Caenorhabditis elegans: one gene and its partners. The protein of the gene in region 3 interacts with the protein of the main gene of each other region in a pairwise test. Each region holds a gene or a part of one and is shown on either strand. Other genes may lie near its edges. The genes, in order: lec-5, rei-1 and rab-11.1.

Evidence for each region.
Region 1: the proteins of rab-11.1 (region 3) and lec-5 interact in a two-hybrid assay, tested with the Caenorhabditis elegans proteins (one study listed by BioGRID).
Region 2: the proteins of rab-11.1 (region 3) and rei-1 interact in a two-hybrid assay, tested with the Caenorhabditis elegans proteins (one study listed by BioGRID).

The regions. Positions count from the first base shown.
Region 1 is NC_003280.10:5,839,120-5,843,017, reverse strand, and holds lec-5 (Galectin), read left to right. Parts: upstream 1-1,914; 5' UTR 1,915-1,915; coding exon 1,916-2,029; intron 2,030-2,083; coding exon 2,084-2,249; intron 2,250-2,506; coding exon 2,507-2,703; intron 2,704-2,749; coding exon 2,750-2,888; intron 2,889-2,933; coding exon 2,934-3,153; intron 3,154-3,199; coding exon 3,200-3,308; 3' UTR 3,309-3,379; downstream 3,380-3,898. Other genes in the region: nep-25 (Peptidase M13 C-terminal domain-containing protein), read right to left, coding at 1-52, 96-258, 357-424, 473-623, 675-775; ZK1248.19 (Beta-catenin-interacting ICAT domain-containing protein), read left to right, coding at 3,692-3,777, 3,828-3,898.
Region 2 is NC_003281.10:4,096,363-4,100,144, forward strand, and holds rei-1 (Guanine nucleotide exchange factor rei-1), read right to left. Parts: upstream 1,829-3,782; 5' UTR 1,767-1,828; coding exon 1,648-1,766; intron 1,490-1,647; coding exon 1,106-1,489; intron 1,054-1,105; coding exon 954-1,053; intron 898-953; coding exon 766-897; 3' UTR 541-765; downstream 1-540. Other genes in the region: C03C10.7 (uncharacterized protein), read left to right, coding at 1-25, 75-184, 384-540. UniProt on the Caenorhabditis elegans protein: Guanine nucleotide exchange factor for Rab GTPase Rab-11.1. Spatially and temporally regulates the distribution of Rab-11.1 to target membranes during embryogenesis. Plays a role in cytokinesis, probably by targeting rab-11.1 to the cleavage furrows.
Region 3 is NC_003279.8:108,086-111,941, reverse strand, and holds rab-11.1 (Ras-related protein rab-11.1), read left to right. Parts: upstream 1-1,884; 5' UTR 1,885-1,897; coding exon 1,898-1,937; intron 1,938-1,985; coding exon 1,986-2,107; intron 2,108-2,158; coding exon 2,159-2,450; intron 2,451-2,495; coding exon 2,496-2,677; 3' UTR 2,678-3,268; downstream 3,269-3,856. Other genes in the region: rpl-7 (Large ribosomal subunit protein uL30), read right to left, coding at 1-187, 235-432, 682-781, 877-887; Y48G1C.8 (DUF7747 domain-containing protein), read left to right, coding at 3,781-3,856. UniProt on the Caenorhabditis elegans protein: The small GTPases Rab are key regulators of intracellular membrane trafficking, from the formation of transport vesicles to their fusion with membranes.

The DNA of each region.
Region 1 (3,898 bases), on a different chromosome or scaffold from region 3:
TACTTGTAATGAATCCATTCACAGCACTGACCAAAACACTACGGGTAGTTGTCTGAACCTTAAAATGTATATTCCTGATTTAAAGAAAGATATACATAATCTTCGATTTCTCCAACTTCTTTTATAATTATTGCTGCTTTTTCTTCACATGGATAATTTTCAAAGCCAGGGAATAATACTTCATCTACATTTTCAATTGTTCTATTATCCTGAGCGCTGATGAAAAACGACGAAAGGCGAGGTTTGCTGGGTTTGCATCTGCAAATCGAATTAGCTAAATTTTAGGTGCATTTGAAAATTCACAATTTTCGTTTTTTTCACAACATGAAAATATTATTTTCTCTATGAAAGCTCACTCCGATTTAAGTTGCTCAATGTTAAGTTGCTTCAGAGCTTCTGCTATTGCGAAGGCATCTTCCCCTTTCTGATGAAAAAAAATTAGCTTGCCCATTCAAAACACTTTAAAACTTACAAACTTATCAAATTTTGGATGCTTTTTTCTATATTTTGCTACCATCCCAGCTTTCAGCTTGCTCAGATCTTCCATGAAATATCTTTCAACTTTCCATGGACACACATGGGCATAGAAATCAACACACGGATCCACAGAGAAGTCAGCATGTCTGAAATTTGTTTTTAACTCAATAAAACTTTTAGATGTAATTCTCTATTACTTTTTAATATGCTCTTGAATGATATTCTTCGGTAGAGAGGCTTTTGATGTGCAAAAAAGAATAAAAACAGAAAATATGAAAAAGGGAAGAAGGGCCTTCATTTTAGGTGTCGAAACAAAAAATATGTGATGCACGGATACTTTTATAGTCGAAAATTCCCGCCTACAATAGCACAGTGAGGTGGCCGATTTCCCATATTGTTTGGAAAATTTCGAATAATTTGCATAACGTTTGTTTTATTGTCACTGAACATTTAAGGAAGCGAAAGAAGCTGAAGACAAATTCCAAAAATGAAAAGCAATAGTTTATTCAAACAAAACAAATTAAGGAATCAGAAACTCTCGAAAGGAAGCAAACCTTGTGCAAATGACAATGAGGAATCCACTCCGAAATAATGATTTTCCCATGTTGTACCTCGGAAATTTCGTTTTCAAACCATAATAAATCTCCGATTTGCCATTCATAGTTTCCAATACTTAAAAGCCATTTAAAAGTTCGATTTCAGACTAGTTTAGAAGTGAACAAAGGTTGGGCAAACTCTGAAAATATTTGGAAAATATAAAGCCTTATTCTCCCATTTCTTTGGATTTTTTTTGAACAGCAGGAACAGAAGGACCACCTGGAACGCGAACAGAGTGAAAACACTTTTACTGTATAGATGTTTGGTATTTTTGGTGAGATCTTCATAATGCTTCAAATAATGAACACATCACATTAAGGTTCTTCGACATTAGTACAATGTTTCAACATCCTCCAAGCTGTCCATGCGAACATCGTAAATCCATCAAACACCCCATGTGATGCTGCTCCCTTGGATACCTCTACACAATAAATATATTTTTCATTTTGAACTTTGAAATTTGTTGAGACTCTCATCTGCTTACTCATCCAGGAGACCAAAGTGTTTTTCACTATTTTAGTGTCCGTTTTCTGATCAAAGCTCAAACCTTCGCCCCCTCTGATATCTTCTCCGCATGGCCTCTGGTCGGAGCCTGAACATTCCAATGGAAAACAAGGAAAATGTGTTGGTGTAATATAATGAATCAATTGAAGAAAGGGGTGGAGATTCCCGAATCATCAACACATTTATCTTGCCAATTGTCCATGGCTCAAGAGTTTGAAGCAGCTTCTTCGAAAGTTTGCCATTTAGCTTCTATAGTGTCACGTAACATTCTCGCATGATTTTGAAGATGTTCTCTTTTAAAATTGTATTAAAAATCTTTCAATTTTATACTTGCAGAATGATAACAAGAACGATTGTCTGCTTATCTTTGGCAGCCTTGGTTTCATGCCAAGGAGATGCTTCTGATCCAAAGGAGACAAACTATAAGAAGTTCATCGGAGAACAAGAATACGTTAGTTATCTAGACACTGGCTAGAATCTGAAAATTATTGTTTCAAATTTTTAGAAGCTCCCATTCAAGACCCGTGTCAGTGAGCCACTTGCAGTTGGACAAACTATTCACGCCGTTGGAACTCTTTCTGAGAAGCCAACTCGTGTGGATTTTAACTTCCACAAAGGATCAGCTAAAGATGCTGATCTTCCACTTCATTTCTCTATTCGTTTTAATGAGGGTAAGTGTTTTAATGAGTAATTTCAAGATCCGGTATAGTATCGCAAAAAATTTGTACGACAGTACCCAAACTTGCAAGATCATGAATAAAGATAATGATAACCAATACTTACGCTTAAAAAGTAGCAATTCAAAAACAATTTCTATCATTAAAGAAACTGATGTCATAGTTGAATGTTTTCGTTTCCAGAACAACCGATCCATAAATTAAATTTAAAAAAATACTATAATATTTGAATTTCAAACAATAAATTTCAGGACTTCTCGGCAGCGGAAAGTTGATCTACAACACATTCGAAAACGGAAACTGGTCTGAAGATGAGCAGAGAATTAGCAATCCATTCAAAGCCGGACAAGAATTTGATTTGCGTGTTCGTATTCTTGAAGGAAAGTTCCAGGTCTTTGCTAACCGTCTTGAGGTTGGAGTCTTCACTCAACGACTTCCACTTGATGGAGTAAGTTTGATTTTAAAATTGTTTATCAAACAACTTCGAATTTAAGATTGATCACGTCTCAATCCGTGGAGATCTATCAAAACTTCGTCTTTTCCACTATGGAGGAAGAATCTTCCCTAACCCATATATGGCAGTTGCTGGTCTTACCCCAGGAAAGAGACTGGATATTTCTGCTCTTCCAAAAGGTACAAAAAATAAAATGTCCGTTTATTCACATGGAAAACTTTCAGGAAAGCGTGTCAATGTCAACTTGTACCGTGAAAACAAAGAGTATGCACTTCAAGTTTCCATCAGATACAATGAGGGAGCTGTTGTCAGAAACGCAATGACTAGCAATGTTTGGGGAAAAGAAGAGAGAGAAGGAAAAATGCCACTTGATAAGAAGCAAGTGTTCGATATCACCATCATCAACGAAGAGTACTCTTTCCAGATCTTCCTTAACAATGAAAGGTTTCAAATTCCTTAATTTTACTGATTTTAATCAATATTTTTGCAGATTCACCACATTCTCCCACCGTGGATCGCCAAGCGATATCAAGACTCTTGAAATTGATGGAGACGTTGAAATCCAGACTGTCACCATTAATGATGCTCCAGGAGTTTAAATTTTTGTTTTCTGAATATATTTTAAGTTTTTATATACTGTCCAGATCTAAATAAACATTCTAAGTTTCCTTATCCGTAGCAATGTTTTGTTGGCAGACTACAATAGCTCGATTTTCATGGAAAATGTTGCAGACTCTGTTTAGAATTAAAATTTCCTATTCAGAATTCGATGTATTCAACTTCAAATTGTCCGAATATAAAGGAATACTGCAAAACTTTTAAATACCAAACATTTTTAATCCAACTTTGAGGTTTTCCAAAAACATGCACTTTTGCGTCATGGTGTTTGCGTACACTCGATTTACGAAATGCATTTTACTTGACGCGCAGCATTTTTGTTTGTTGTTTTTTGCAAATTCCTCTTGCAATTAATTTTCTCGTCATGGGAGTAGACGATTTGCTTATTAAAAATGCTCAAAAAACTATTGATCGATTGATCCGGCAGTTAGCAGAAATAGAACAAGAAGAGTGAGTGAATTTTTTGTTTGTTTTTTACTTTCAAATGTTTCTTTGTTCAGGAATAATCTCGAAGAAGACGAATACAGGGAATTGCGTGAAGACACTGTAAATCAACTTCAGGAATATGGAA
Region 2 (3,782 bases), on a different chromosome or scaffold from region 3:
TAATCGGAATGATATAGAAATGCCTGTAATCTCTTCAATTAAGTGAAACAATAATATGACACAAATATTTTTAGAGCATTCCAAAGCTTGGCCGGCGTGTGAACAATTTTCAGTATTTTAAATGGGATTCTGATGAAGAAATTCCAATTATTCCAGAAGAAAGAAGACCCGCTTCGGTTAGCAGGTGAGAAATTGAATTGTTAAATAAAAGAAAAATCATGAAAATTTTGAAATTGACAATTTTGTGCATTCTACCGTCGCGGTGTATGCGTACTTGACACTATATATGACGCGCAAGTTGCAAGTCAACGAAATTTCGATTTTTTTTAACGTCTCAAAATTTCAAAAAATTACAATTTTTCAACAATCTATTTCACCCTCAGATTGCCACCAGCGACAAGGGCATCCACTCTTTGTGAGCTATGCACATTGGCTTCACGATTGCTTGATAAATCCAGTGCTCCGACAAGAAGTGCAGCGTGTGCACACGTAGATGCTTTTGTGGGCACTTCATCGTCTTCTCATTATCACAATTTTTAATGTTTCAAGAAAATTGTTATTAAGCACCAGACGAACACAAAATAAAGAGATACATAGAGAAAATGAGGAGCAAAGAGAAAGGGGATTGAAACCCGTAAAAATACATTTTTGGTGAAGTTGATTGGGTGTGGAACGTGAGTACAAGTGAGATCGAGATTTCGAAACTTCGTGAAAAATCTAATATTACACGTGGAAAATTGAGAAGAAAGGGTGTGGCTCAGAGTATCAAGAGCTGTCGGATTCTGCATCACTCGAAGGAGCCAAACTGCTTTGCGAGGAACGCTCCTGATGAATTTGATCGCTGATCTGCTCTAAAGCTCGCATCGAATCACTGTAGCTGTCTTTTCGTTCTTGTACCTGGAAATTAAAAATTATTTTAATCTATATACAGTTTTATTCTTATTAGTTCTTACTTCATGCTCCAAAATTGACATTAACTCAAGTTGAGAATTCATTGTTCGCGTCAGAACTTCTTTTCGTTCGTAATAGGGCCGGGATTTTTTGATGGCAGATCTGAAATTCGGAAAATATATTGTCAGAAAATTGCCTGATGCCTGAAACTCACCCATTTTCCTCTAAACATTTCCTTAAAGCCATTTCCAACTGTAACAAATCCCTGACACGTGATGCATGACACTTTTCAGCTTTTAAACATTCTCCCTCAGCTTCTTTAACCAATTCCAACTGTTGCTCAATCACATCAACATATTGTTTCTCTGCATCCAATTCTTGATTGTTATTCAATGAATTATGCAGTATTTGCACTTGTTCTCTTGCCATTTCAACTGAAGTTTTTTGTCGTTCAAATTGAGCTGCCGCTTGTTGAACACATCTTCTGATTTCCGATTCGCGGCTTTTCAAATCGAAAAATTGACGGGATTTTGATATGTGTTTGGCCAACTTTTTAGGGATTCCAAGCATTTCTTTGTTGAACATTAGTTGGGTTTCACTGAAAATATATAAGATTATTTTAGCATCAAAACCAGATTTGGTACGATTTTTTGCGAATTAATTGGTTAAGAATGACTAGTGCAATAAAAGGTTTCCAGTTTTAGACGTGTAGCGATTAAGCAATTATTTTAAAATAAAAAATGAATTAAAACTCACCAAAACTGTTTCTTGACAGTTTCCAACTTCATCTCATAACTGTTGATGTCATCTGTTGCATTATTTAAATTTTCAAGTTGTTTGCGAATCGATATTAATTGATCGTCCCCTTCCGTCATTTTTAATGTTTTATTGATTCTGAAATCGAATTGTTCGAACGAAAATTACTAGAAATGAAGAGAATATGAGGAGAAAAGATGAGAAAATAAATTTTTTAAAATTAAATTTGCAAATTTTAACGTGAGGCAAAACTGTGCATTTTTACGTGATGGTGTTTGCAGATCGTAATTTGAAATTAATGGCGGGAGTTTTTCAGAAATTATCAATTCGACTTACAAAAATGGCTAAAATGAATGAAATTTGGACAATTTTCTCAATTTTAGTTGTTCAGGGTTAATAGCAAAAATCAGCTGCAAAAATGGCCCTCGACATGACATTTTTGTTGAAAACAAATGGGTGTGCGCCTTTAAAGAGTACTGTAATTTCAGTATTCATTGATTTTTCATAGTTTTTGGTTGAAAATAAATTTACTTATTAAATAATATTACTTTATTAATAATTAAGATAATAAAATTCAAAATTATTCGATTTAATAAATTGTGAGATCAACTATGAAAAATCAATTAAAATCTGATCAGAGAGCAACGAAAGCTTTAAATTACAGTATCCTTTAAAGGCGCACCCCCGTTTGTAAATCTCAGAAATTGCCTTTTCGCGGCCAGGTACCGTATTTTCAGGGCAAAAATCTCAAAATTTTGCGTCTGGGTAATATTCGAACCTCATAATTTTTTGAGAATTTCGAACTTGAAACCATTCTAGAACAAAGAAAACGAGGAAACGGAGAGTAGAACTATTTCAGATACGGTTTTCATCGGTTTTTTGGGTTTGAAGGCCGTGCAAACGACAAGCGGGGGTAGGAAAAGTGTGGGGGACGACGGAGAAGAGAGAAACAGAGACGGACGGTCGGGATGGACAGTGTGAATAGATTGTGGAGGGCAAATGGGCCAATTATACCGAAGGGGAAATATATTGAGGGGCACACAATTGTGGACTGTTATATGAGCAAAATTGGTGGAAGGTGGGGGAAGAGTTGAGTCGCCTCAGTCCTCAAGAAGTACTTTTTTGAAACATATTTTTTTAAAATTTTTTTGGGGCGATACCCCTCAACTGCAAAATTCCGATTAATTGCAACATTTCTATTTTTAAAATAAGAGAATGTCTATTGGGAAGTGGAGCAATCCACGACTGGATTATCGGCCACAGTCCCCGGCTAGGACGTGGCTTAAAATTACAGCCCAGAGGATCACCACCAGGCAGTGTACCTGAATCCCAGATCCGCAGTGCATAGCACTTGAAGAACCGATCGTCCTTTAATCCTTTAATCCTTTAATCTAAAAATAATTTTTCTTCAGTCTGACAAAAAACATTTTTAGAAAATTTTCAGGTTTTGTCAAATGATAAAACGATTTCGCTGATAGTTTTCAATTCATCTAATAATTGAATCGAAAATCGGAAAAACGCGCAAATTTCAAAGCAAAATGATGCTTCCGGGTCTCGACGCGAGTGAAACTTTTCAGCTACAGTACCCATGAGTACGGTAGATGATGATTTTCTTGAAATTTCGTTTTTTCCAAGCATATTTGACGGGATTTCGATAAAAAATATAATTTTTACATCAAGAATATCAAAAGAATTGAAAATTACAACAAAAAATAAAGGGTACGGTAGCGGAAAATTTTCATTCGTGACAGGAGCCAATGTGGCAATTTTACTTGACAAATAGCGAATAATAGCTTTTATGAGTGCTATCTGAAGAAGTCTAGGCGCGTGAGCTTTAATAGGATTTGCGGGAAAAACATCAGGGAGGTGTCGAAAAAACGGGGACAGTTTTTGTGGTCGTAGGGGTGTGTGGGGGACGACAGGTTGTGGATGACGTTGTCTTTTTCATCTTCTTCTTCTTCCGATGAAGAATAAGTGAGAAAATTAGAGAAATAGACAGATACTGATCTATTTTCTCTTTTCTATCTTTCTCTCTCTCTCTATCTCTTTTCCCTATGACCAGGAGAAATTGATGATTTCAAAGGAGAAGAAAGTACGAAGTTGTCAAATTTTTAGTGGGTGTCGTCGGACATGTG
Region 3 (3,856 bases):
TGATTGGGACACGGTTTCCGTCAACCTTGGCGTATCCGCGCTTGTAGAGGAGATCGTGGATGGTCTTGTTGTTTGGATAACCCCAAGCTACGTATGGCTCGATGATACGGAGAAGTGGAAGAGTAGCCTTGTTCAGCTTGACGAACACTCCGTTGTTGATCTGACGAAGACGGAGGATCTGGAGAGCCTGAAAACAAAGAATGGTTATTAAAAAACTCATTAACACAATTTCACCTTTCTTGGCTTTGGATGAAGCTGGTTGATACCGCGAATTCTGACGACGAAGGCGACCTTGTGCTCAGCTGGAACGTAGAAGTCTCCCTTGGCCTCAGCCTCGCGCTTGAGTCTGAGTCCTTCCTTTTGGGCGTTTCTGTACTCCTGGACGTATTTCTCAGCACGCTTGAAGTATTGGGTCTTCTTCTCCTTGTTCTTCTGTAAAAAATTTTATTTTTAATGCAGGATTAGTTCAAATTAATTTTCAAACACCTAAAAGAAAATTTAAACTTTAAAATTTCGAATTGTCATCGTGTTATTGAGACGCATTCTGAATTGAATACACCTCACCCAAAAACAAGATAATTCTTATAGCTCAGTTTTGACGGCTGGCTTGGATAATAGTGGATCCTAAAACCAGTGCTTTTGAAGAGCATTTTCTGTTTTCTGACAGTTAAATAAACTTACAGCGGCGACGGTCACCTTGTGTTGAGCAGCCTTGGTGCGGGCATCGGCTCTCTGCTTTCTGCGCTTGAGCACAGTTTCTGGAACCTGTGGCACTTTCTTTCTGAAAAACCAAGAATTAATATCAAAATTGAAGTATTTGAAAGTCAGGCCTAAAAGTAAATTTCAATCTAATATAAATTTATAAAGAAAACTTACGTTGGAGCCATTATAGGCGATTGATTACCTGGAAAATCAAAATATTAATCAGAAAAGAAAATTATAAGATATTGAAACAGAGGAGCAAGTTTTCAAAACTAAATTATTTCAGTATTTTTCGAATGTTCAGCATTTTCTTCACGAAAACTATAAAAAACGCGTATCAGAATTACGGGAAATTAGTTCTAAAATTTATTCTGATGAAAATTTAAGAAAATCAATGAAAAATGCTCTGAAAAAACGGAAAAATTCGTTAGGCCAAAAAGAAAAAAATGTAAAATTGAGATTCCGTTGCGCCGCTGCGAAAGGGGTACGGTAGTTGTCGTGCCGAGACCCGAGGAGGCTTGCGCTGCGGCTAGCGTCGCGTACCCTCAGACCGACGTGGCTGCGCCGGTGCGCCTGACCTGTTTTACGTTCGATTTTATGGGTTTCACACGCATTTCGCGTTCGGAAAAGCTTATTCTGGATGTTCACAGCCATAAAACTAATTATTTTTTTCAATTTTTAGCTGAAATTATCAAAAAAGAACACCCAGAGAAAGCTTTCCCTTGTTAAAAATATCCTGTTCAACTATTTCGAAATCGTGTCGACAAACAAAGTTCGGCCGCTCACCTTCCCTTTTTCGGGTATGATAAGCCTCAAATACTCTTTCATAACACACTTCTATATACATTTTCACATTTTTCTTCTGACTAACCACCCTCATATATTGATAAAATTCAATATAAAACTCCCAACTCCATATACTTTGAATCATTCTTAAATCAAGTTCACTTATATTTTTTCAATCCCCGTCGAGATAGACAACCGGTTCCTGACTCCGCGTTTGTGTCGGGAACAGAACATAAAAATATTCTCCGCCGATAAAACAGTGTCTCGTTCTTTTAATATCGATTTTACAACAAAACATTGCGCCCGGCTGATGAATCATGTGACCAATGCCCTTTTTCTTTTTTACAATCGTCCCAATATATACACAACTTTCAAACAAGCTTTATCATTTTACAGCTCAGCAGTAAAGATGGGCTCTCGTGACGATGAATACGACTACTTGTTCAAGGGTAATTTTGTTTTTCATTTTTCAATTCCCAAACGAAAAATTGTTTCAGTTGTTCTGATTGGAGACTCAGGCGTCGGAAAGTCGAATCTCCTGTCTCGTTTCACAAGAAATGAGTTCAACTTGGAATCAAAATCAACAATCGGAGTCGAGTTTGCCACGAGAAGCATCTCGGTGAGGAACTTCATTAGAATACACTTATGATTCAAATTATTATTTTTGTAGGTAGAAGGCAAGACAGTGAAGGCTCAAATTTGGGATACTGCTGGACAGGAACGTTACCGTGCCATCACATCCGCTTACTATCGTGGGGCTGTCGGAGCTCTCCTAGTCTACGACATCGCTAAGCATGTGACGTACGAGAATGTTGAGCGATGGTTGAAGGAGCTTCGTGATCACGCCGATCAGAACATTGTGATTATGTTGGTCGGAAACAAGAGCGACTTGCGCCATTTGCGTGCAGTTCCAACAGACGAGGCCAAGATCTACGCCGAAAGAAATCAATTGTCGTTTATTGGTAAGTTAAACTAATCTATTGCGTTTATATATTTTTTTTTTTCAGAAACATCTGCCCTCGACAGCACCAACGTTGAAGCAGCTTTCACTAATATCCTGACGGAAATCTACAAATCAGTATCCAACAAGCATGTAGGAACTGACAGACAAGGATATGGCGGTGGCAGTGGTACAATCATTCCTTCGCCAGCGTCCGACCCACCAAAGAAGCAGTGTTGCATCCCATAAATCACATCGTGTTTTTTTTTTTCAGTCTAACGTGTGTATTTTTCGAAATGCCTTGTCCATTTAATTTACTGCCCCCGAAATCCAAATGATTCGCTCTTAACATCCGCGAGTTTTATCGAATTCTTGCAAGCACTGCGTTTGCAAGTCTTCACCGTTTTGGTGTGTAGTATTTGTAACTTTCTTTCAGATTTATTTGTAATTGCCTCCATCCCCACCCCTTCCCCCTCCCCCCCCTCCGAACCTATACATTCGTCCCTTTTTCTTCAGAAGATTGTGATCTGAGTTGAGTGGTGCTGCTTTCTTACCATTTATCCGACTCAAGATTGTATGCCAACTTCAGCGACGTATTTTGAATATTTTTTCTTCACCCTTATTCAATATTATTCTGGCCCACCCCCACCCAATGTGTATATTACCTAAACTATTTTGGTTATTCGTAATGTGTGTCTCTTGTAGAACTCGATACCGAGAAACCCTCGCCAAGAAAGCAACGAAGACATATGCACATTGTTTTTAATCGAGTTTTATTTATTTCGCAATTTTTTTCCAAATAGTCATTTTCCATGAATAAATAAATATATCTAATTGATCTCCTATTTTGTGAAACATTTTCACTAAACGCTTGTACCAAATCACGTCCAGTTTTTTTATTTTGAATTCAAAATGAAAATCCGCATTTTCGCGCCGAGACCACTACAGTAACCTAAGGCCTAAAAATGTGCATTTTTGCGTGTTATTCTATGCATTGTCCGTACAGCGTTTCCATTTGAATTTTTTGAAGTTTTCCGATAAAAAAAAAGAAAAACTCCAAAAAAAAATTTCCCATTGAAAAATGTCGAAAAAAGAGACGCAGAGAAAGCGCTGCAAGACCCCACATCTGTGTGTTTGTCCTTCCTCAATCCTCCGGCTCTCTCGTCGCCTCGCCGTCTCTTTCAAATTCTCCATCTCTCCTCCCGTCTCTCTTAGTTGTTCTGGTGTATGCTTGCGTGCGTGCGTTGCGGACTACAAATCAGGACTTTTTCAAATTTATTTTAATGCTTGTTTAATTTTTAATTTTCCACCCCGTTAATTATTCTTATTTTCAATTATTAAATTGCAGAAAAATGTCCGAGAATCCTGAAAATTCGGGAGAATTGGCAGAAAATCAGGAAGAAGTTGATCAAGAGCTTGTGCAAAATC